3 linked regions of the Drosophila melanogaster genome follow. The protein of the gene in region 2 interacts with the protein of the main gene of each other region in a pairwise test. Each region holds a gene or a part of one and is shown on either strand. Other genes may lie near its edges.

The links. The genes of interacting proteins can lie anywhere in the genome.
Region 1: the proteins of CG30427 (region 2) and CG12766 interact in a two-hybrid assay, tested with the Drosophila melanogaster proteins (one large-scale study listed by BioGRID).
Region 3: the proteins of CG30427 (region 2) and CG31523 interact in a two-hybrid assay, tested with the Drosophila melanogaster proteins (one large-scale study listed by BioGRID).

The regions. Positions count from the first base shown.
Region 1 is NT_037436.4:3,936,044-3,941,694, reverse strand, and holds CG12766 (uncharacterized protein), read left to right. Parts: upstream 1-1,569; 5' UTR 1,570-1,610; coding exon 1,611-1,688; intron 1,689-1,807; coding exon 1,808-1,975; intron 1,976-2,043; coding exon 2,044-2,216; intron 2,217-2,335; coding exon 2,336-2,480; intron 2,481-2,538; coding exon 2,539-2,736; intron 2,737-2,799; coding exon 2,800-3,000; 3' UTR 3,001-3,071; downstream 3,072-5,651. Other genes in the region: CG10863 (uncharacterized protein), read left to right, coding at 1-69, 126-323, 391-582; CG10866 (uncharacterized protein), read left to right, coding at 3,949-4,242, 4,302-4,682.
Region 2 is NT_033778.4:24,932,350-24,941,094, reverse strand, and holds the start of CG30427 (uncharacterized protein), read left to right. Parts: upstream 1-3,617; 5' UTR 3,618-3,791; intron 3,792-4,759; exon of another isoform or gene 4,760-4,866; intron 4,867-6,259; 5' UTR 6,260-6,263; coding exon 6,264-6,543; intron 6,544-6,611; coding exon 6,612-7,037; intron 7,038-8,400; coding exon of another isoform or gene 8,401-8,745. Other genes in the region: Tina-1 (troponin C-akin-1), read left to right, coding at 41-209; CG2811 (uncharacterized protein), read left to right, coding at 701-1,023, 1,082-1,189, 1,241-1,283; CG3760 (uncharacterized protein), read right to left, coding at 1,567-1,824, 1,878-2,139, 2,253-2,335, 2,422-2,634.
Region 3 is NT_033777.3:4,474,128-4,480,984, forward strand, and holds the start of CG31523 (uncharacterized protein), read right to left. Parts: upstream 5,081-6,857; 5' UTR 4,935-5,080; exon of another isoform or gene 4,506-4,934; intron 1,300-4,505; exon of another isoform or gene 1,125-1,299; intron 1-1,124. Other genes in the region: sac (sterile affecting ciliogenesis), read left to right, coding at 6,692-6,857.

The DNA of each region.
Region 1 (5,651 bases), on a different chromosome or scaffold from region 2:
TCCAATTTCAACTCGGAACAGTTGACTCGCTTGCTGGCCAACTGCAAGATCAAGCCAATCCACAATCAGGTGCGTCAATTGTGGTTATGCCTTGGGTTTCATATTCCTAATAGACCATTTTCCAGATCGAATGTCATCCCGCGTTGAACCAGAAGAAATTGATTGCTCTGTGCAAGAAGAATGACATTGTAGTGACCGCCTACTGTCCCCTGGGCAGACCCAATCCAGCAGAAAAGACGCCCAACTACATCTATGATGCCAAGGTGCAGGCAATTGGAGACAAGTACAAGAAGTCCACCGCCCAAGTGGTGCTCCGATATCTGGTAGGGATTACGAACTAGGTTTAATGAGAACAAAAACTCTTTATTAACATAATGTTTATCGAAATAGATTGAGATTGGAACCATCCCATTGCCAAAGTCCTCAAATCCCAAGCGCATCGAGGAGAACTTCCAGATCTTCGACTTCCAGCTGGATGCTGAGGATCATGCCATTCTGGATTCCTACAACACCGGAGAACGTCTGATTCCCATGACCCACGCCATCAAAAGCAAGAACTATCCATTTAACATCGAGTTTTGAGCTGGAAAGCAGGAGCAATGTTTGATATTAATTAAAGTGGTTGTTAAATCTGATATTTTGTGTACATATACATATGTTTTTTAAAAATAAACACCAATAATAATTATTTTTGAGATCTTTTTTCATGTTGAAATATTTATGTTTATTTTGGAGATTTTTATATAACAAGCACACTTATTTTTTTTTTTTTACATAATATCGCATTAGTTTTACTTTTAAGCATTTTGATAGTACGTAATTCTTCTATTTTAGTCTTATCACTTGAACTGTTTCTTATTTGCAGTCAAGGGTGTGGCAAATATTTTAAAGGGGCATAAAATATAATAAACATTTGAAGTCATCTATGAAAACAATACGAATTCATTTTGTGATTATATACATATAATCTTAATTAAACAATACCCTTTTTTGGACACCACTGCTGAACATTTAATGATTTGAGAGAGAGCTTTTGCTCGATCATTTAGTTTTTAGTGTGGGCTTGGCATGGAAAATTCCACTTAATCAAAATCATTTGGTCTAGTACAATTTCGCCAACACTTGTCTGAATTCAATTATTCACAACTGCAAGGCAGATTGCAAAAATGAAAAGCTATAAAAGGGAAGAGAATATAAACAAACCCACATGTAATAGGTAAATAAACAAAACTAGCGATAAAGTTAACCGAATCAGCTTTGCGCGCCACTCAACTATCAAGCTATCGATAAGTGTTTTTCAAAAGTGTTCCCACATATTTTTAAATGGGATTTTACACATGATTTGGTTTGGATCATTTATAAAAAATATGTGTTTAATTTATCCTTATTAAAACATTAAAATAATGCATTTAATATATTGGTTAGCACACTTAGAACCTACGCTCCTTGCGTCTCTATAAACTATTTCCAAGTTTCTCTGCCAGCTTGGCCGTGTTTTATCTGCAAATGCAAAAGGTCTTTTGAAGGTTCTATGGGCCCATTCGAAAACCTTATAACAGAGGTGAAGCGAGCAACCCAAGCATTCAGTGTTCAACTTTGTAACCGCGAAGATGACCGGGAAAGTGGAGTACTACTTCAAGCACAACGACGGAACCCATATCCAGGGAATCGGACTGGGCACCTTCGCGGTATGACATTGACTGGTTGATCATAGCATATCCGATACGGATCAGGAATGTCGCCTATCAGTAGCCGGGTTAACGTCATTTGAAGAACCGCTAACGTTATTGATGACTTGTGATTTCAGTCGACGGAAGGCGATTGCGAACGGGCAGTTCTCCACGCGATTGATGTGGGCTACCGGCACATAGACACCGCCTACTTCTACGGAAATGAGGCCGAAGTGGGTGCGGCGGTTCGGAAGAAGATTGCCGAAGGCGTCATCAAGCGGGAGGACATATTCATCACCACCAAGGTCAGTTGGCAAGTTCTTATAGCAGGCATATCATAAACTAATCCTTAAGTGGCCACATATTTCCGCAGCTCTGGTGCAATTTCCATGAACCGGAAAGGGTGGAGTATGCCTGCCGAAAGACCTTGAAGAATATTGGCCTGGATTATGTTGACCTCTATCTGATTCACTGGCCTTTCTCCTATAAATATCGCGGTGATAACGAACTGATTCCCAAAGATGCCAATGGAGAGGTGGAACTTGTGTGAGTAAAATGAATAATATATGAAATATTTCGAATCGATTGGCACTTACAAGTGATTGTGAAATGCGCCTTCTATTATCAGTAATCTTACTATGCCGTTTACTTGCTTCAAACTACAGAGACATTGATTACCTGGACACTTGGGGCGCCATGGAGAAGTTGGTTGACCTGGGCCTGACCAAGAGCATCGGAGTGTCCAATTTCAACGAGGAGCAACTGACGCGCCTGTTGGCCAACTGCAAGATCAAGCCAATCCACAATCAAGTAACTTAGTCACAGGATGTTCCCTCCAGTTTCTCAACTCATATTGTTCTTTCTGCAGATTGAGGTACACCCCGCGTTGGATCAGAAGAAACTGATTGCCCTGTGCAAGAAGAATGGAATCCTGGTGACCGCCTTCAGTCCACTGGGCAGGCACAATGCCGAGTTGAGGACGCCCACCTTTATGTACGATGGCAAGGTTCAGGCCATCGCAGACAAGTACAATAAGTCCATTGCCCAAGTGGTGATCCGATATGTGGTAAGGATTTTCGATTTAGGCCTTATGTTGAACCGGATTTCTCATGATGAATTCTAATTTCAGATTGAGCTGGGAACCATCCCGCTGCCCAAGTCCTCCAATCCCAAGCGCATTGAGGAGAACTTCAATGTCTTCGATTTCAAGCTGGATGCTGAAGATCATGCCATCTTGGACTCGTATCACAATGGAGAACGTGTTGCCCATGCCCGACAAGCCATCAAGAGTAAATACTATCCCTTCAACGTGTATAGTGCTTGTTTTTGATACAACAAATATATTTAAGTTATTATGATTAATAAATAAATAGTAACCCTTGTAAGGGAATGCCCAAAAGCAAGAAGATTTCTAACGTCATTTACAATCGGTAAGTATTTTTCGTAAGTGTTTTGTATATGTCTTTTTTGGCCTTATCATCACAAGTACTTCCCATTGATATTCACATGGATTGGTTAATAAATCAAACAGCGCGGCACTTTTTTGTTCCAGTCATTCAGTTTTTTCTTAGAGAATGTATATATTTCTTAATGCAAAAATTTAAAAACTGATATACTTTTACAACAAAAGTGAAAACTTTTATTTTTGATTGTATTTAAATCGAAGTTGTACCCGTATCATAATGCACAATAGAACAGATAATAGAAAATAGGGTAGCGGATCCATTATGAAAGTCAAGTTCTCGATAAGAAAAATATAAGAAGTCGATTGTTTTACCCAGCTAGCTGTGAAAATAGGAAATAATATGTTTGTATTAAAATCTACCAATGTAAATAACATTAAAAGCTTTTTCTCTGCTGCATTTAAAATAAAATTGAAATGATCAATGTCATGAATAGAAAAATGTTACAGCGAATATTTTAAATTTCAATCTCGCGGTATTTTGTAACGCATTACAGTATATTTGCTGGCTGTAAGAAATATCGATAGAGCGGTTGCCGAACAATATCGATAAGTATTTATTTACTCTTCCAAATATTGTGTGATATTTTTATGTGCGCACATCCATAACAAATATCCTTGCAAATCGCCGGGAACACGACGAATTGCAGGTAAACAAGATGCCAGCAGTACGTGGACATTACAGCAGCGAAGATTACGTGGAGCAGCAACAGCAGGAGGAGTAAGTGCACACAGCGGAAGCAAGTAAATCCGTCCAATTGCCGAAAACCAGAGCGTAGCCAGCCGGAAAAGTAGAGCAGACTCTCCCAGAAATCGATGCCCCACTGCCACACAATGGTCTATATGCGAATTGTGCTAACAACCTTGGTGACCATTACGTGTCTGCTGGGGGACAACTTTGTGGAGCTGACCCAGCATCCATTGCTGAAGGCCCTGGCCGACAATGCCACCCATGCGGCCATTGGAGCACTCACGGGAATCACGTTCGCCACACAATTCTACGAGCGCACCTCGCAGTTGTTCGGCTGGATATTGATTTTCACCTGCTTCGTTGTGTCATCGTTCATTGACTTGGACCACTTTGTGGAGGCTCGTTCCCTTTATTTGGAGGTGAGTTGCAGTAACCAGACGAAAAACGAACTAACCAAGTTCCCACAACTCGCACGCAGGATGCCACCAATCTGTCGAAGAGGCCCTTCCTCCACTGCTCCAGCATTATAGTGGTTATGCTGCTGTTCTACATGTGCACCGCCTGTTTGAACTATTTCCGGACCAGCCTAATGCTGGGATCCCTACTCTGTGCCTTCATCACACACCACACCAGGGACGCCGTGCGGCGGGGCTACTGGCTGTGCCCGCTAGGTCACACGGACAGGATGCCCCAGCTAGCCTACATATTGACCACCATCCTGACGCCCCATCTGCTGGGCTGCCTGCACAACGTGTGCCGCAGCGCAACCGTGCTTAACTTCCTGGGGCAGTACGTCAAGCTAAGCGAGGGCCAATACCGCAGCGGCTCCACTGCCAACTATCGCTACATGCAGGTCTAGGCTATATGTAGGAACACTTTGTGATAATATTGCAAAACATCATCAAATGGTAAATGCAAATTGCTTTTCAAGCTTCAAGCGCTTTAAGATTAGAGATCGCCTAGAAACCCAAATACTTCCTCGCAACAGGACACAATTTTACACGGATCTACTACTAGAAGTACCTTTTTGAGGGAACTATGCTTCCCGTCCAATTGATTTTTCTTTGTTAAGTAGCGTGTAGGTTTTTACTAGCATCTAACTAGAATACAGATAATATCCGGATATGTGATATGTAGTCCTTAGACAAACTAGAGTAACGAGCATAGCGCACAACGATATCTAATCGATTTTCAACTTCAACTCTGACTCTTGTAACTAGTAGGCCATACGAATTTTAAGCTAATCGAATAATAAAATCAATCTAATTGCCTTACAACATCAGCCTTGCAATCACAATTAATCCCATTGGCTTACTTGGCCCACCTTTATTTTATTCGCTGTTTATTTGTGGGCCAAATTAGTTGCCGTTTACAAATTGGCCCTAATGGCTGGCATGGCTGCGAAGGAATCCCGTCATAAATCGACTTTTCTGCTTATTTTACCGATTCGTTTGGGCTATTTTTAAACGAATTTAATTTTAAATGTTCGCCATTATAAATAAATCACAATTTCGATCGAAAAAGTTCGCAAGGAACCAATAAAAAACATTGGTTTTTCGAAATTTTCCTACGCTTTTCGGCGGAAAATCGCTGTGTTTGCGGGTCAATAATTGGGTAATTAAAGTTACACGTGCGATCAGACAGTGAAAATATTCTAGGGTATTGTCGGTACCAGAATTTCCCACGCATGCCCATTAACAGCGGCACGAACAACAATAACAATAACAGCGGCTGAATCCGTTGGCAACACCCACGACCCAACATTTGTTTGACATACACTGAAAGAAAAAACTGATTTATTGCGAAATAATGATCTAAGGCGTACATG
Region 2 (8,745 bases):
TTCAGCAATGTGGTGTGATGGGTCACAATTTCCTTTCCAGAACCGTTCCATGCTGGGTGTACCTGCTGCAGAAGTACCCGGAGAACCTACTTAGTCTGCGCTACTTGTCCAGCTACGAGAACTCAACCACCCATCCATACATTATGCGCCATCGCCGCACCCACAAGCATCCGGCCCAGGACGACCTCACCTACGAGGCCCAGAACTAATAACGTGGGTTGTGGTGTCGCCCGTTTGTTTGGATGTTCTCTGGATAGCCTGGCCACTAATCTTATGTTACCGTAGTTGCATTTTAAGACCGTACTTGCAGACGCAGATGTACTGATCGATATATACCCGTATATATGGGCAAACGATATAAACTGATACATATGTACCATACGCATTATTTAGGTTTTAGCAAACGTAGTCTGTAATTTGATAGTTTTCGACAAACAAAGCAAATAAACTGAAGCAATTTAAAATAAAATAAAATGCCCCTCGTTCTATTATAGAAGTAAAGATGCTGGACAGCAGTCCCTGGTAATTTTCCACAGCCCAGTGCCGAGGGCTTCAGTTTCTCGCGGTGTACGGAGGCTAGATTCGGTGCGAATGGCAGCAAGAAGAAGAGCGGACGGGTTATGTCGACTGCGCAATCTACAGGTCGGATTTGATAGCACGATACCGCTTGAAACTGATAAGCCTGGCGGCGGGAAGCGCAATGGCTGAAAAGCTGAGAATGGCGGCAAGGGTCTTTGTGTATGGCACGTTGAAGCGCGGTGAGCCCAATCACCACTGGCTGACGAAAAAGGAGAACGGCCAAGCCCGATTCCTTGGAAGGGGGAAAACGGAAACGAAGTTTCCCCTGGTTGTCGGAACCCGCTACAACATCCCATTTCTGCTCGCCCGCCCGGGTGAGGGGAACCACATAGAAGGCGAAGTCTACGAAGTGGACGAGACCATGCTCTCCAAACTGGACATACTAGAAGACTACCCGGACTACTATGATCGCGAGCAACAAACCATATTAATGGAACAGAATGAGTATGAGGGTGTGGGGTGATGGCCAGATGTAATAACTCACTATTGCCCCTATGTCTAGAACCATTCAGTGCTGGCTGTACCTGATTCGCAACTTCCCAGACAAGATGCTGGCCAAGGAGCTGCTGATCTCGTACCACAACACGCCGGAGAGGCCGTACAATGAAAAGTCAGTACGCACTGTTTCAGCCAGAGATGATCTTTCTTACTGATTTTGCAGCTACTTGGACAGCTGCCCGGAAGACCTCGCCATGGAAAAGTGAGAAACGGAAACGTATAAAAAAGTAACGTTTATAAACGGATTTCAACGCATGGGTATTATTCGTATTGTATTACATTAATCCATTTTTCAAAATGCAAAACGAAATGAACAATAGTAGTTTGTGGTTTAGGGTAAGAGTAGCAGTGGTGGTTTATATGAATCAAAAAGCCTAGAAAATCTGCATGTGCTGGCATAGAACCTTTGGATGGCTTGAGCTCGGCAGCGGACACTGTGGTAGATAGCGGTTCAAGTGGCCAGCAACAGCACCGTTGGCGTGGGCTGACCTAGCTTGCTTCGTCGTCAAGCGACTGGAATCGGTTGGAGGCCGCCACCGGGGCAGCCGTGGACTCCTGAACACGCTGGAAACGGCTTCCGTGACGGACTTCTTCGAAGGCGGGTTCGTTTTTCTTCTTGCGCTGTTCCTCCGGACGCGCCGCACTTAAGGTTGGGAAAAACTCGGTATTGGTGATGTCGGGGGCGGCGCGTCGTGGACGCAATGCCCCCCCAGTAGGGCCGCCTCCCAGTCCACTTCCGGCCTGCTGCTGCAGAGAAGTTGATTAAACTCGATCTGGATCGTCTCGCTCTTCTTACTTACGCTGTATCGTAGCGCGGGTGAAACGTAGGTCTTGGACGAGTGCTTTTCCACCTCCACGGGCACCGGAATCTGCATTACCTCCTCGGCTGGGACAACTTTCTTCCAGGGTCCGTGGCCGACGCGCTCCTTGTTTACGTCCGCGTTGTCATACCCATTGCTGTCCTCATCGTCCTCATTGTAGTTGCCGCCGTCCGGGGCAGAGGGCACTCGAGCAGCTTGCGACTCGGAACTTTCCTGGGCAGTTCTGGAACGGGCCGAAGAGCTATAGAAAGCGAGTTTTCGCAATATGCGGGGTCAAATGGAAAGTAAATCAATGGAAGTGGCCTTTTCTCCTGCTCATGGATTAGGCGGTCGGCGTAACGTTCGAAAACTCACATGGTGCTCAGCTGGCCGATCTTTAAGCCACTGTAGTCCTTGCGCTGCTCCTCCTCGAACTCCTTCCATTCCTCCTCGACGGGCTACGGAGCGGCAAAACAATGAACTTATAAACATGCCCTAGGTGGCCAACGGGCGCTGATTTCACCAGACTGAGATTCGGACTCACCGGGGCGGACTCTGGCACCTTGGTGCCGCTATTCTCGTTTTCGCCTACTACTGCCACGCCGCCAGCGGCTACCTCAGGTTTTTTGGGCTTGACCACCTCGCGCTTGGTGCCGTCCTCCAGGTTCTTCACCATCTCGTCGGCGGTCACGAACTTAGTCTTGTTCTTGGACTTCTTCTTGTCCTTTTTCGCGAAGAAATCGTCCAGTTCGGCCATGGCTTGTAATTAATTATAAATGAATAAAATTCGCGACAGGAAATTTGGAGAACAACTCTGCACGCCTTTTGTGCCAGATGTATCGATAAGCCGGCCAGGGCTGGAGATTCCTGGAAATTCGCAGCGAGATTACAAATTGTCGATTTAATTTCACTATGCAATTTACATAATGCACGCTTTTTTTCATACCTGGAATTAACTGATGGTTTATTATAACTAATCAGTTTAAGCAACTCTGACAGCACTACCTTAGCAGGACAAGTATCCATATATCATCTGCATGATATCGATATTTTCAACTTTGGCGGCCTTTTTGAAACCATCAGTTGGGACTGGAAGACACAAACATATTATTTTTTTGCAACAAAATTGGTAACATGCATAATTTAGCGTGTGCAAAAATCACAGGAAAGACTGCACTAATTACCAATATTCGCGACATTGGGCAACAATAGATTTGCATAGGAGATTGATAACCACCTAATTAAGGCAAACAAAGTGGAAACCACCGCCGCGGTGGCTGCGAATGCAAAGCTGGACCATTGTGTAATGGAAACCAATTCGATCCGTTGCTAATTTTGCATCCATAATGATGCCAATATATCTTATTCGCTGAAAAGCAGCAAAGTCAATAAAACTCGTCCAAATGGCAAAGTTAATGTTTCCCAAAATATGCCAAAGAGTTCCTGGGCCTGGGACTTGCATCTTGTGGTACCCAGCAGTCCCGCCCATGTAGTCAAAAGTCAACTACTTGGCCCATCACTTGGACCCAGCCTAAGCCTCTTAGGCCAGACGGCCAGTTCCGCCTAGATTAGCCGAGCTAATAGATATTTATGTCTGTACCAACACCTGCCGAATACCTACCACAGTACGGCGTGCAGCCAGGCCAGTGGTTTTGCTTCGTTTCGGCATGGTTTGCAACATCCCAAAGCACTGCTAGTCCACTCCACAACGTATTCATATTGACAACCACCGGGCTGGTCGCGTTCAGTCTTCTTTCGAGCTTCGCAGCGTCCACACCGCTCCCTCCACTACTCGATTCGATCCGAACTAGTACGCTCCGAACCGATATAGTCTCGCATTAATTCGCGTGTGCGAGAGTTTGATACCAATATTGCAAGTGTTTTAATTGAGGAGAATACCAAGCAATACTCAAGGTAATTGAAACACTTAGTAGCCCCAAAATAGTTTCGGCTTGCAATCTAGCACTCCGCCGACCTCATCTCGAGCTGCGATTCCTCCTTGTGATTACCGCATTGTAAAGACAATGCTGCTTATTTTTCGGGGCTATTAGGCTGCAATTCGAGGCATTTGCCAGCCCAGCGAAGCGTTTAATTGACGATTACAAAGGTAGGCCCCTCTGCCCTACTGAGTTTGATTTCGAGATACGCTCGTGAACCCCCGTCTATGTCAGGGTCGTGTCATGACCTGTCGCAAAGTCTGATATTTCGATATTCCACATTTTCCGCTTTGAGTTCCGTGGCCCTTTGCATATATTTGAACCTCGGCTTGCGGCTTGCTGCTAATTTTATGTGTCGGGGTTTCATCTCATTTGTATCAATGCTGATCCAATACAAAAGCCATTTACATATTGAGGGGGATTTTTATTTAAATATATCGTGAGACTACGTGAGCAAAGGCCAAATGGGAAATGGAATGGAAGAATTGCCAAACATTTAAAATTTGTTCGATTTCATGGTTTAATGTCTCAGCCTCAAGTGGCTTTCTTAATGATCCTCCACACAGCCACATCCGCAGCTCTTCTCCGTATTCGAGCTTACGTTGCCTTAGAAAAGGGGTCATTGGTACAGCGCAGTCAGTCAATCAGTCACTGCGCTCCAATGGGTTTATTAACTGCAGACCGATTGCAGGCTGCACTTTGCATTGGAAAATTTTAATGGCCCCATCATCGGTAGCCAGTTCTGAGGTCGCAATCGAGTTGTAACCACACAATATTACTTAGGCTAAAAAGCAGCAATATGTAAACAAGAGGAACACACAATCGATAAACACAACCACATACAAGCTAATTAAAGATTCCAAAATGTTTCTACTTACAAGCGATATACGATATACCGGTTTTGGCTCTAATAAAAATATGACAAACGAAGGAGAGAAACAAATATCATAAGATAAAAGACTCTTTATCGTTTATCGACGTTTCAAATAGGGTCAATTTGCGTTTGCGTAATATCAAAGAGCTTAAAAACACTCTTGCCAATTGTGGGGAGGGTAAGTTTAAAATGGTATAAAAACATTTCGGATTTGAATTTATCGATTTCGACGTAATTTTTGCAAGTCGTTCCGCTACATCAATATGCTTATGAACAAAATACATAGATGGTAAAATCTCAAACAAATTTCTTGAATTCCATTATCTTCGTGATGCTCCGTTGTTAAAACTATGCACACATTGTTCTTTCATTAGAAATCACAAATATGTTATGTTATTTTAGTTGTCTATCAGTATTTTGCATTAGTTACTGTTTTCTGACTCGTCTCTTTCTCGCTCGTCCGCCCCAATTGGGATCAAGTTTGTGGCCTAAGTCTTTCGTTTACAAAATGAAGCTCCGTTGTTTTAGGTTCAGTTTTAATAAATACGTTTGTCTGTAATGCTCATAACTTCGGGTTTGACAACTTGGGTCGACCGAAATTTGTCTCAATGTGTGTATTTCGAGGCTTGCATAAGTGCAAGCACTCTGAAGTTGTTTCTCGGGCTGTGGCTCTCGTTGGTTTCACACATTCGGCGGACGCGTTTTAATTGGCCATAAAGCCGAAAACTGGGGCTCAGTAACAAGCCCCTAAAGGCAGGTGCCGCGAGGCGAGATGAAGGAGAACCGCAGTGATCTAAGTGAAGTGATCCCAGAAACAGATCCAACCACATAGATTTCAGCTTGTAGTTCAAGGTGCAGTGGGGCTGCTGCGTCATGCTTCCTGCGATTTCCATCTTTTCCAGCTTTGCTCTGCTGGAGGAGGTAAACACTCGTTGCCGGAGATACAGTATTGGACATGCATACGCTTGGGCGGGGTGTGACCACAATCGAGCTGCAATAAATAGGTAAACAAGTACGTCCGCTCGGTCTTGCGTGAAATGTCATGACATGCCCAAAGTGCAAGGCACAGGCACAATCCACAATTCGAGATTGCCGAGCAGATGTGGCCAACTGTAACGCGGCTGCAATCCAACCCAGCCGCATGCAGATTGAGAAACAAATACTTGCAACAATCCCCGTCGGAGGGGGAGATATAAAGACAACCTGGCACGCTAGACGGGTTCGATGCCAGCTACCCCTGGTAATTGCATAAGCCAGCAAAGAAATGCGAATCCACAGGCGCAATCGAAAATCCAAATAGAAACCGAAAGTCCACTAGAAACCCGTTTGCGGCAGGTTCAGCTCACTGGTTGCTGCTGTGTGTTGGCTGCTTCCAAGTCGAACACCAGATGTGGTAAGAGGGGCACGCGTGGCCAGAATTAGCCCCAGTTTTTCCAGCACCACTTGCGCCATTCGCTTGCCAATCACTAGTTTTTCCTTTGACTGGTTTTCGCATTCCCGGAATGCTTCTTGCGTCACTCCATTTCCATTCCCATTCCCAGAAGGTGTGCTAATACACCTCTTTCTTGCAGAAAGATGACGGTGGATCTATCGCCAGTGCAGGAATACTATAAGGATAAGACGATATTCATCACTGGAGCGTCTGGGTTCATGGGCAAGGTTCTGCTGGAGAAGTTGCTCTACTCCTGCCACTCCCTCAAGGAGGTGATCATCATCTGCCGCCCGAAGCGCGGCAAGGCACCCGAGACGCGTCTCGAGGAGATGTTCAAGCTGCCCATCTTCCAGCGCATCAAGGACGAGCGCCCGGAGATGCTCAAGAGGGTTACCATCTACCAGGGCGACGTCACCTTCGACCGTAAGTGTAGCGCTTAAGTTCCGCACTTTAATCTCGATTGATTTGCATTTCCTGCCCTTCATTTGTAGAGCTCGGGCTCAGCGGGGAGAGCTTGAAGCACGTGACCGAGAACACTAACATTGTTTTCCACATGGCGGCCACCCTTAAGCTGGAGGGCAACCTTCGGGACGCCATCGATATGAACTTGCTAGGCACCCGGCGAGCGCTCAACGTGGCCAAGGAAATGAAGCAGCTGGAGGCCTTCATCCACTTGTCCACGGCTTTTTGCAACTGCGACCAGGATGTGATGTATGAGAAGGTGTACGAGTTTCCACACAAGCCGGAGGATCTTATGCGCCTGGCCGAGTGGATGGACGTGAAGACCCTGGACGCCATTACGCCGGATTTGCTAAAGCCGCACCCCAACACATACACCTACTCAAAGCGTCTGGCGGAGCTTCTGGTGCGCGACCACTACGAGTCCATGCCCGTCATCATCGCACGTCCCAGCATCGGTAAGTGACCTTTTAAGTACGGATGCCACCTCGCTGTTGCCTATCCGCGTCGCTTTGGCCTGCGGCGAATCGATTTATCAGAGTCGTTAATTCTCTATGTCTCTGGACGGGATTGCTTGCTTGCTTGGTAGCCAGCTGCGCTGGAAGCGAAATTGAGTCTGCAATTGCCAGTCGCCAGTTCCCCTCTAACTAATACCTAATAATGCGCCTCCGCTTCTGCCGCCTTAAGTCTATGTCTATGTCTGTGTCTGTGTCTATGTTGCCCTGGCTTGCTTATTATTTATATCTTTTTCGGCCACCTGGCGTCTTTGTTGGACGTCTCTGCCTGGAATGTACGATCTGTCTGCGCTGGCAGTCAATTAAAGTTTTCTATTAGCAGTTTTTGGCCAACCTGAGAGGGCGTTATTCATGGGAGGTGGAGAAACTATTGGGCAGAAACCAGTCCGACCATATTGATGCAAATCTCCAAAATCAAACACTAAGCCGAGTGGTAATTTGATATGAAAGTATACTTTAATCGAATCTTTTATTTTTATACTGCCCAGATAAGGTTAGGAAAATGTTTGTGAATAGGTATTTCCGATGGCAGCTCCCCTCAAACTTATTTAATGATAGGCTAGCTGAATGCTGAAATCGATAGGAGTGGATGAATATTTCATTTGTAACCGGGAGGGTTCAAGGCAAGGGTGACCTGCTTAGCTGGGCAAATAGCCCATGGATACACCCAATATGGACGGGTTACGTCCTCGTTTGCTAACTAGCGAGCAAAGTTCGGCAGAGTTCGCCGATTTTAGCAGATCTTCAGAGACATTAGCAGATGATAATGAATGTACTTGTTGGGTATGGGGTTGCTTTGGTGCTAGTCTTAAGCCGCTTCTTGCCACCTACCGCTAATTCGTCAAGTGTTTACGCTTTCCGTGTGTTTTATGACATCGCCACTGGTTGATCTCATGTCCTCCTATCCGGCGCGGGCTCCCCGCTTGACTCTTCTGCTGCCGCGCTTCTTAATACGTACACCGCACATGAACCACAGCAGCAGCAATACAGGTCTGAGCAACCACAAACTGCCAACAGACACCACCACAATCACAGCGCTTGAAAAGAAAGAGCCCGATTACATGACATGGTGTACAGCATTGCTTAAAACAATAAACTACCTCAACCACTGCACACAAATGCCGTCGTCATTGACCAAAAAGTTCAATGAGCATGCAATGAAAACAAAGAAGACAGAAACGCCCCGCTTTACCCTTCCTCTGCCTCCGCCTCCGCCTCCGCCCTCGCATCCGCATCCGCATCAGCCTGATCCCAAGAACGTCTGGGAGGAGGAGTCCCAATTTGAACTCATCTCCCGCACGCCCAGTGTCGCCGTCGGCGTACGAGCCCGTCCCGGGATGGGTGGACAACCTTAACGGACCCACCGGGCTGATGGTGGGCGCCGGCAAAGGTGTCATCCGATCGATGCTGATTGACACGCGCCACCTGTCCGAGGTTATTCCGGTGGACTACGCCATCAACGGTCTGTGCGTGATCCCCTACCAGTTTGCCAAGATGACGGAGCGGCCGAAGGACGTGCCGGTATACAATATCACGTGCGCTGACCACCGGAAGATGCAGTGGGGCGAAGTAATCGAAATGAGTAAGGAAATAGGGTACCGATACCCGATGGAAGCGGGTCTCTGGTATCCAGACGGATGCATCACCACCA
Region 3 (6,857 bases), on a different chromosome or scaffold from region 2:
AAGAAAAAAATAAAATTTTGTTGACTCTTTCACCATAATTTTGATGAAAGAACGGTGAATGTTTAAAGACAAATTTAATTAATTTGAACTGATTAATAAGCTGGGGAGGGCAATACTTCCCACAATAATATTTGGAAAGTTGTACTACATTTTTTTTACTACATTTTTGCCTCTCCGAAACAAAACGTATTTTTATGTGCTGAGCAAGCAGTTTCATGTAGAAACTTTAGTCATTCCACTTAGTAAAAATTAAAAATTTCAAAGGAACTAGATAGATAAATATCCTTCACATATAGCATTTCGAAATTCTATTTTTTCAATAGTTTTGGTCAAAAGATTTTTAATCAACAATACATTTTTTATACTTCTTTAAGACACGCATTGACTCGTTGCAAATTTTTCTACTGTAGCGCATATGGTTTCAAAATTGAAGTGTACTGATGCTCTACAAAAGGTATTGTATTTTTTAAAAATAATTAAATATATAAAATATATACAAATAAAATAACTGCTGACGTTCACACGCTGAACATAAAATCTGATTCTTCTGTGAAGATTTTACCAGTCGACATTATTTAATTAAACAAATAATCTTTAGAAAGGGTAAATTTTGTATAATATACTTTCATTGTCAAATGAAAAATCTTTTTTTTTTGACAATTACTTTCTGCGTAACATTCGTTTAGCAATTTTTCGTAGGTTAAGGGTGGACTATATTTGTATTTATATATTTAGAACGTCGAAGGGATTTCTTCGGTATGCCAAAAACTTTTCAAAACTGAATCATCAAGAATTTTGTGAATGTATTTGAAATCGTTTTATATTATCATTTGTCTTGCTTATTTCTATCTGATAGGCGATTAGCTCCCTTATTATTTTTTTCTGTTCTCGTTAAATTTACCAGCTATATATAAAACCTAATCAAAAATATGGGGTTAAAGGGAGAAATGAAGAAAATCGTAACTATAAGTTAGCTGCCTTATAAGCGGTTGGCTGGAGCCAGAAACAGTGCTATCGGCATTAATTAATTGGGGGTTAAAGTCCTTCCATATTGTGATATTGTGCGGAGATAGATTGCGATATCTGTTTCGTTTTGCGAATTTTATAAGTATTTTCTTAGATACCTTAGATACCTGGGTTTTGTTGTTTTGTTTTCTGTTTGTTTTGTATATCGTAATATTGTATTTGCGAAGGTGTTATTATCTTCCGTCCTCGTTGTTAAAAAATAAATATTAATTTATTTAAATGACGAAATTTCGAAAATCGCGGCGATGCTTTTTGAATTGTGTGAGTGCTCGTCTTGAAAATATCGAGTCAGGCCACACAAGACACTTGGGATTCCGATCTCCTCGCAAGCAAATAAAGGCGGCGGCCCTCGATCACTGGCTTGGATCGCCAGAAGCGTGGTCGGATATATTGAAACGAAAGCGCAAGTGAATCGCGCGGACCGCTCCCACCTGACGACCTCAGGTCGGCTGGCCGATTAATGTGTGTGCACTTGTAATTTGTTTGGCTGCTCGGGAAGGTCAGACCCCACGGAAAACCGACCGAGCTGCTGAAACACACGATGAAAGTTTCCATCGCAGGGCCGCACTGCATTAATGGCATTTAAATACATCGATGTGTAATTATGCACATGCATAGTTCCCAAAGCATAGGTTACGGGTGTCAGGAATGGAGGTTTTGTTTATTGTTTTATTGCGACTCTGCCTCGGGCATTCTAAATTGAGGAGAAGCCGCTGAGATCGAGGGGTCGACTTACATAACACTGGCGTGGTAAGTTTTCCAAAAATACGTAAAACCCGACAAAAACAATGAAAGAAAAAACAAAAAACAAAAAACGCACAAAGAAAGGCTGGGGAAAATGAGAGAGAGACAACAGCAAGCGACAGAGAAAAACTGTCCGAATCTTTGGGTAAATGAAATTAATGTGCGAAATGTATACGAGTAGGTCCCGTCAATGTCGAAAAAAGAAACGGGAAAGAAAGCCGGCTTCGACTAGCCGAAGTTTGTGTACCCTTGCAGACGGTCAATGGGTATCTATCGGTAATATTGTAATATTAATGATGTTATTTGCTGGAAAGGTGAGTACATGGTACTTATAGCTTTTTACTTCTTTTTAAATAACATATATAGTTACATTTACCAAAAGATATCAAAGTGCTCTTTTATTTCGAAAATTCGTATGCATTGCATCTCTTCTACAATATTTTGTTTAACCATGCAGGATAAAGGCGATTTACCATTTTGAGGTAAATTCTTAGAGCACCATTACTCGTAAAGTATAGCCTAGTAGATTCGTTGGGAAGTATGTATGTAACACTTCTATCGATATGCCAAAATAATATTAAAGATTCTCGCTTAAACATCTACTAGCTGACTAACAGGCAAGGAACTCGACCATACAGTTCTCATTTGGTATTTAAATATAATTCATAAGATATCATTATTAGGCAAAGGCTGTATAAACTAATAACTGTAAAAATAATACTTTTAAAATTAAATACTGGCTGCATTGCCAGACATCACAGTCGCTAGTCAACTTTTCCCTTTGGAATTATAATCCTTATATTGGCGTATTATGATCATTATATATTTCAAGATATAGGTTATATCGACCGCTATATCAAATCTTTTGTTACTTAAGGGCTCTGGAGCCTAAGTATGCCAAAAGCATTTAATAAACTTTTATCATAGACTTGCCTCCTAACCGAACGATAGCTGGATTCGCATTACCATCATGAATTGGATCTGTCCATCTCACCGCCGATAACGGCACATTTGTCTTTATAGCACCGCAACAGGTGGTGAGGCTAGTTCTCTTGACTCTGACGATGCTGTCACTGTCCATCGAATGATTATGCCCACGATGTGTTAACCCCGAATGGTACGAAGATCGTGGCCAAGCATCTCAGTCTCAGACGAGAGTCTCAGGGGCCAGAGAACCCGTACGATGTCATTGTTCTTTTCTTTCTCCATAGGACAAACCGGTTAAAAAACTTTCCTCATAATAGCAGAGCCCAAAAGTGCTTATTAAGCATGCGCTGCCAAAACACATATTAGCGAGCACCTATGTACATATAAACCAGAGGACTAATACATGCGATCTCTATAACCAAGATCTCATGGACTTTGGCCGAATTTTTATGTTGGCCCGAATAATTTCAGATTGCTTGTGGGTGTGACTGATACAGCCAGCCGATTGTATAGCTCCTCTCTTCTGAGAAAATCGAAGCCCGGCAATGAGACACAATCTTGAGATTTGCCGTGTAAACGCGAATGAATATTTGGATTTGATGTGTTTTCTGAGCAATCTAAGCAGATAATGTGTTTACTGAGTCTAAGCCAGTCGCGCCAGCCAAATAACTATACGCGAGGGCCAAGGTGCAAAGCGATCAATTAGCACTTTAGCACTGCATTGTTGCAATCTATTTGCGAAAGCCCTTGACTCTACGTAGCTCCAGGTTCGCTTTTCTGACCACCGGCCAGCGGTAATTGATGCCGCACCACATTCTCCAGGTGATACATACATATGCATACATACATACATACATACACACATACACACATACATAAATTTCTGATCGAAGTATTTAGCGCACTCGTTGGCTGACCCTAAAAACCTGAAAAAATGCGAATGCAACTACATTTCTCGACGTTTCCGCATTCGGCGGACAGGTGAAACTTTTTGATTGACTGACATAGGCGGCACACCACTGCACTCCTTACCCAACAAAGGTACACAGTAGACAATGAAGACAGCGAAATGCGTTCGGCTATTTAATACTATTTAAAGTCAGTTCTCAGGATAAGGAATTAGCTGCTATACCTAAGCTGCTGCTAAAATACTTCTCATACGGAAGAAGTTGTACCACTAAAAAGAAGAAATATTCTATGTATTCGAAGTAGCATAGAAGTACCTACTGCTAATACCCGCATTCCTCAAATAATGAATTTTTTTATCTCGATTGGGAAACAATGGTCAACAATATAATTTCCATTGTTATCAACAAAATTTACTTAATATAAAATTGTATTGAATAAGTGATTCATGAATTACAGTTGTAGACCGAAAGGGTCAATTGTTTTTTACACTTCATAGAACCAGATTAATCCAATAAACAATATTTAATTCATTAAAGTACGAATAGGTTACCAGAGAATCTATGAAAACAAGTCTGGGCAATCCTTTGGAATAATAATTCATCCCTCTCACGAAGGGCACCCACGCCCCTGTGCGCTCTCTCTTAGCCACCGACACGTGTGAGCTCTTTTGCTCTTTTAGTTGGCTGTTGCTTCACGGCGACTCTCTTCGGCATCGCCTACTGACGCTGCCGCTGCGAATGGGCGTGGCGGGAAGCAGAGCAAGAAACAGTGGACTACCGCCACTTTTTTAATTAAACCATGAACAAACAGGCAATGGCGGTGATGACTAATATCACCGAATCGCAAGGCGAGGGTGGGGAGCAGCTGGAAAATGCTTTCGCGGCTGTGGCGATACTCACCTGCGAGGTATGGTGTGGAAGGGGGGGGGGGGGGTCGAGCGGCGATTGGAATGGAAGAGGAATCCCGAGTGCACACACACAAATGCACTTGTGCACGGCCACAAATACACACTCGCGAAGGAGAACGAACGCAAGTGTAAAGGGCCCGCGCTTTTGGGAATTGAACAATCGACTAGTTTCAGCTTGGGCTGGCTGCCGATGCTTTTGATACTGAAACTTCGATACCGCGGGCTGCGATGCCGATGGCTATGGCGATGGCTACAAACAACAGCAACGCCAACAAAAGACACACACAAACACCGCGTTGGATCTCACCGCACATAAAATATATCCGACAACATATCGTAACGGACTTCACCATGCAGAAAATGCGATCTAGCCCAATAAAACTATATGCGCTTCCAAAAAAATATATTAATATCGAATTACTTCTTAGTCAACTAGCCATATCTTTCGGATTTCTTGGGAAACGACGACGCGAGTGAAATCGTTCAGCAACAAAGAGAGCGCGTTTTGCCAGTCGCTTAAATATATTTTTGTACAAAACGGTCTCGCAACTTCGAACATGTTAGATTGGGTTGGCAGCAACTAAGCAGAATGTTGGCACGAGTGTTGCCGTTTTAGCATTTTTAAAGCTCGACTTAGGTTATTTGAAGCCCGCAAGGACTGTGATAGGGATTACAGATTAAATAATATTGTGCGTAAAATCTTTGTGATTTGATAACCTGCATAGAAGGTACCAAGGAAACAGAAAAATAATATGGATCGTCGCGACTATACCCGTATACCCTCAGCCAAATGAAATGCAAAAGCATAAATTGACTGCGAGGGGAATACTTTTCACAGGCCGTTAATATTCTTTGAACTTGTAGTTAACTTTAAATAAAGGTTTCTGTGGCAGGATTGTAATTTTTGGCATGTTTAATTCTACACTAAATTAACTATTTGATTTATTTGATTTCTTTACCAAATAATTTGAGCTAGACATAATCTAGTTCTGGCTGTTCCGTTTCTAGATAATCTAGATCTGGCTATGGAAAATCTAAAAAGGCTGAACTGAGACGAGGCAAAATGATCTTTGTGGATTCCGTTCCGGAAAGAGTGACCGAATTTCGAGAATTCGGTACTTATCGATATTATCGGAACCCATTATTTAGCATTGTCATCATAAAAACGATATTTAGAGAATGTAGAATGTTAAATGTTTTTTAATATTTCTTGTAATCAAAACAAGATCGAGTTCCCCTACTTTAAAAGTCCTGTTACTCAAGTCGTATACTAAGTGCGAATGAGAAATTCCAACATTCTTTTAGCAGATCGAAGGAAATTTAAAAAACAAAATAAACTATTTAAAAAATTTTTCAAAAGCGTGGGAGTTTTGGGCGGTTTGTTGGTGTTATAAGGGACGAAAAACAGACAAAAGTCAGAGGGTTCCTCGACTTTGCGAGCGAGATGTTGCAAAATGGTATATCTATAGAAATTCGCATTACTGCGAGCGAGATGTTGCAAAATGGTATATCTATAGAAATTCGCATTACAATCAAATTACTTTGTAATTGTGACAGTGAAAGTCTCGTGAAGTCTTGCGTGTTAGCGTCGTAGTTTGGGGCGGCTTGTTGGCCTGTTCAAGAATATTATATTTTATAGAGTCGGAAATGCTTCTTTTTACCTTTATCGAATTTAGTAAAACCTTTTACGGCAAAAAAAATAATTCTCATAAAAGTGCGCTAAATAATAAAAAATGAATAAACAACAACGGAAGCTTGAAATTGAAATTAAAGATTGTTCAAAATTAAAAAAATGTAGTAAAAAATGTATACCAAATTAAACGACCAAATTTTACATTCGATTGTTCATATGGCTATTTCGACTCGGTTGTTCATACTGATCAAGAAAGTATAAAGTGAGCTTTATATGGTCGCAAATGCCTCATTCACTGCGATGCAAACACCTTACTGAAGTCAATGTATCCTTTTGGAAATAAAATAGTTTACATATAATTTAATAAAAATATTAAATATTGCTGAGACCGCCATATTCACATTAATTTTATAAAATCGAATTTTTTGGTTTAATTTGACTAAACAGCAGTAATTAATGCTCGGGCTTTGTAACAATCAACAAATACACTGCTTTGAAAGGAACGCCACTTTCTCATTTAAATCCACTTTAACAATATATTTCATATGGATCCGGAGAACTTAGAGGTGGGACAAAATTATGAAGGTTCCCAGGAATTCGATGAGAGCAGCACCAGCTCAATTAGCAACAAGGGCCCGGATGACAGTCAATTCAAGCGTGAGGCTGAGAAAGCTATTTGCATCATGCCGCCCCGACCGGGAACGACTATGA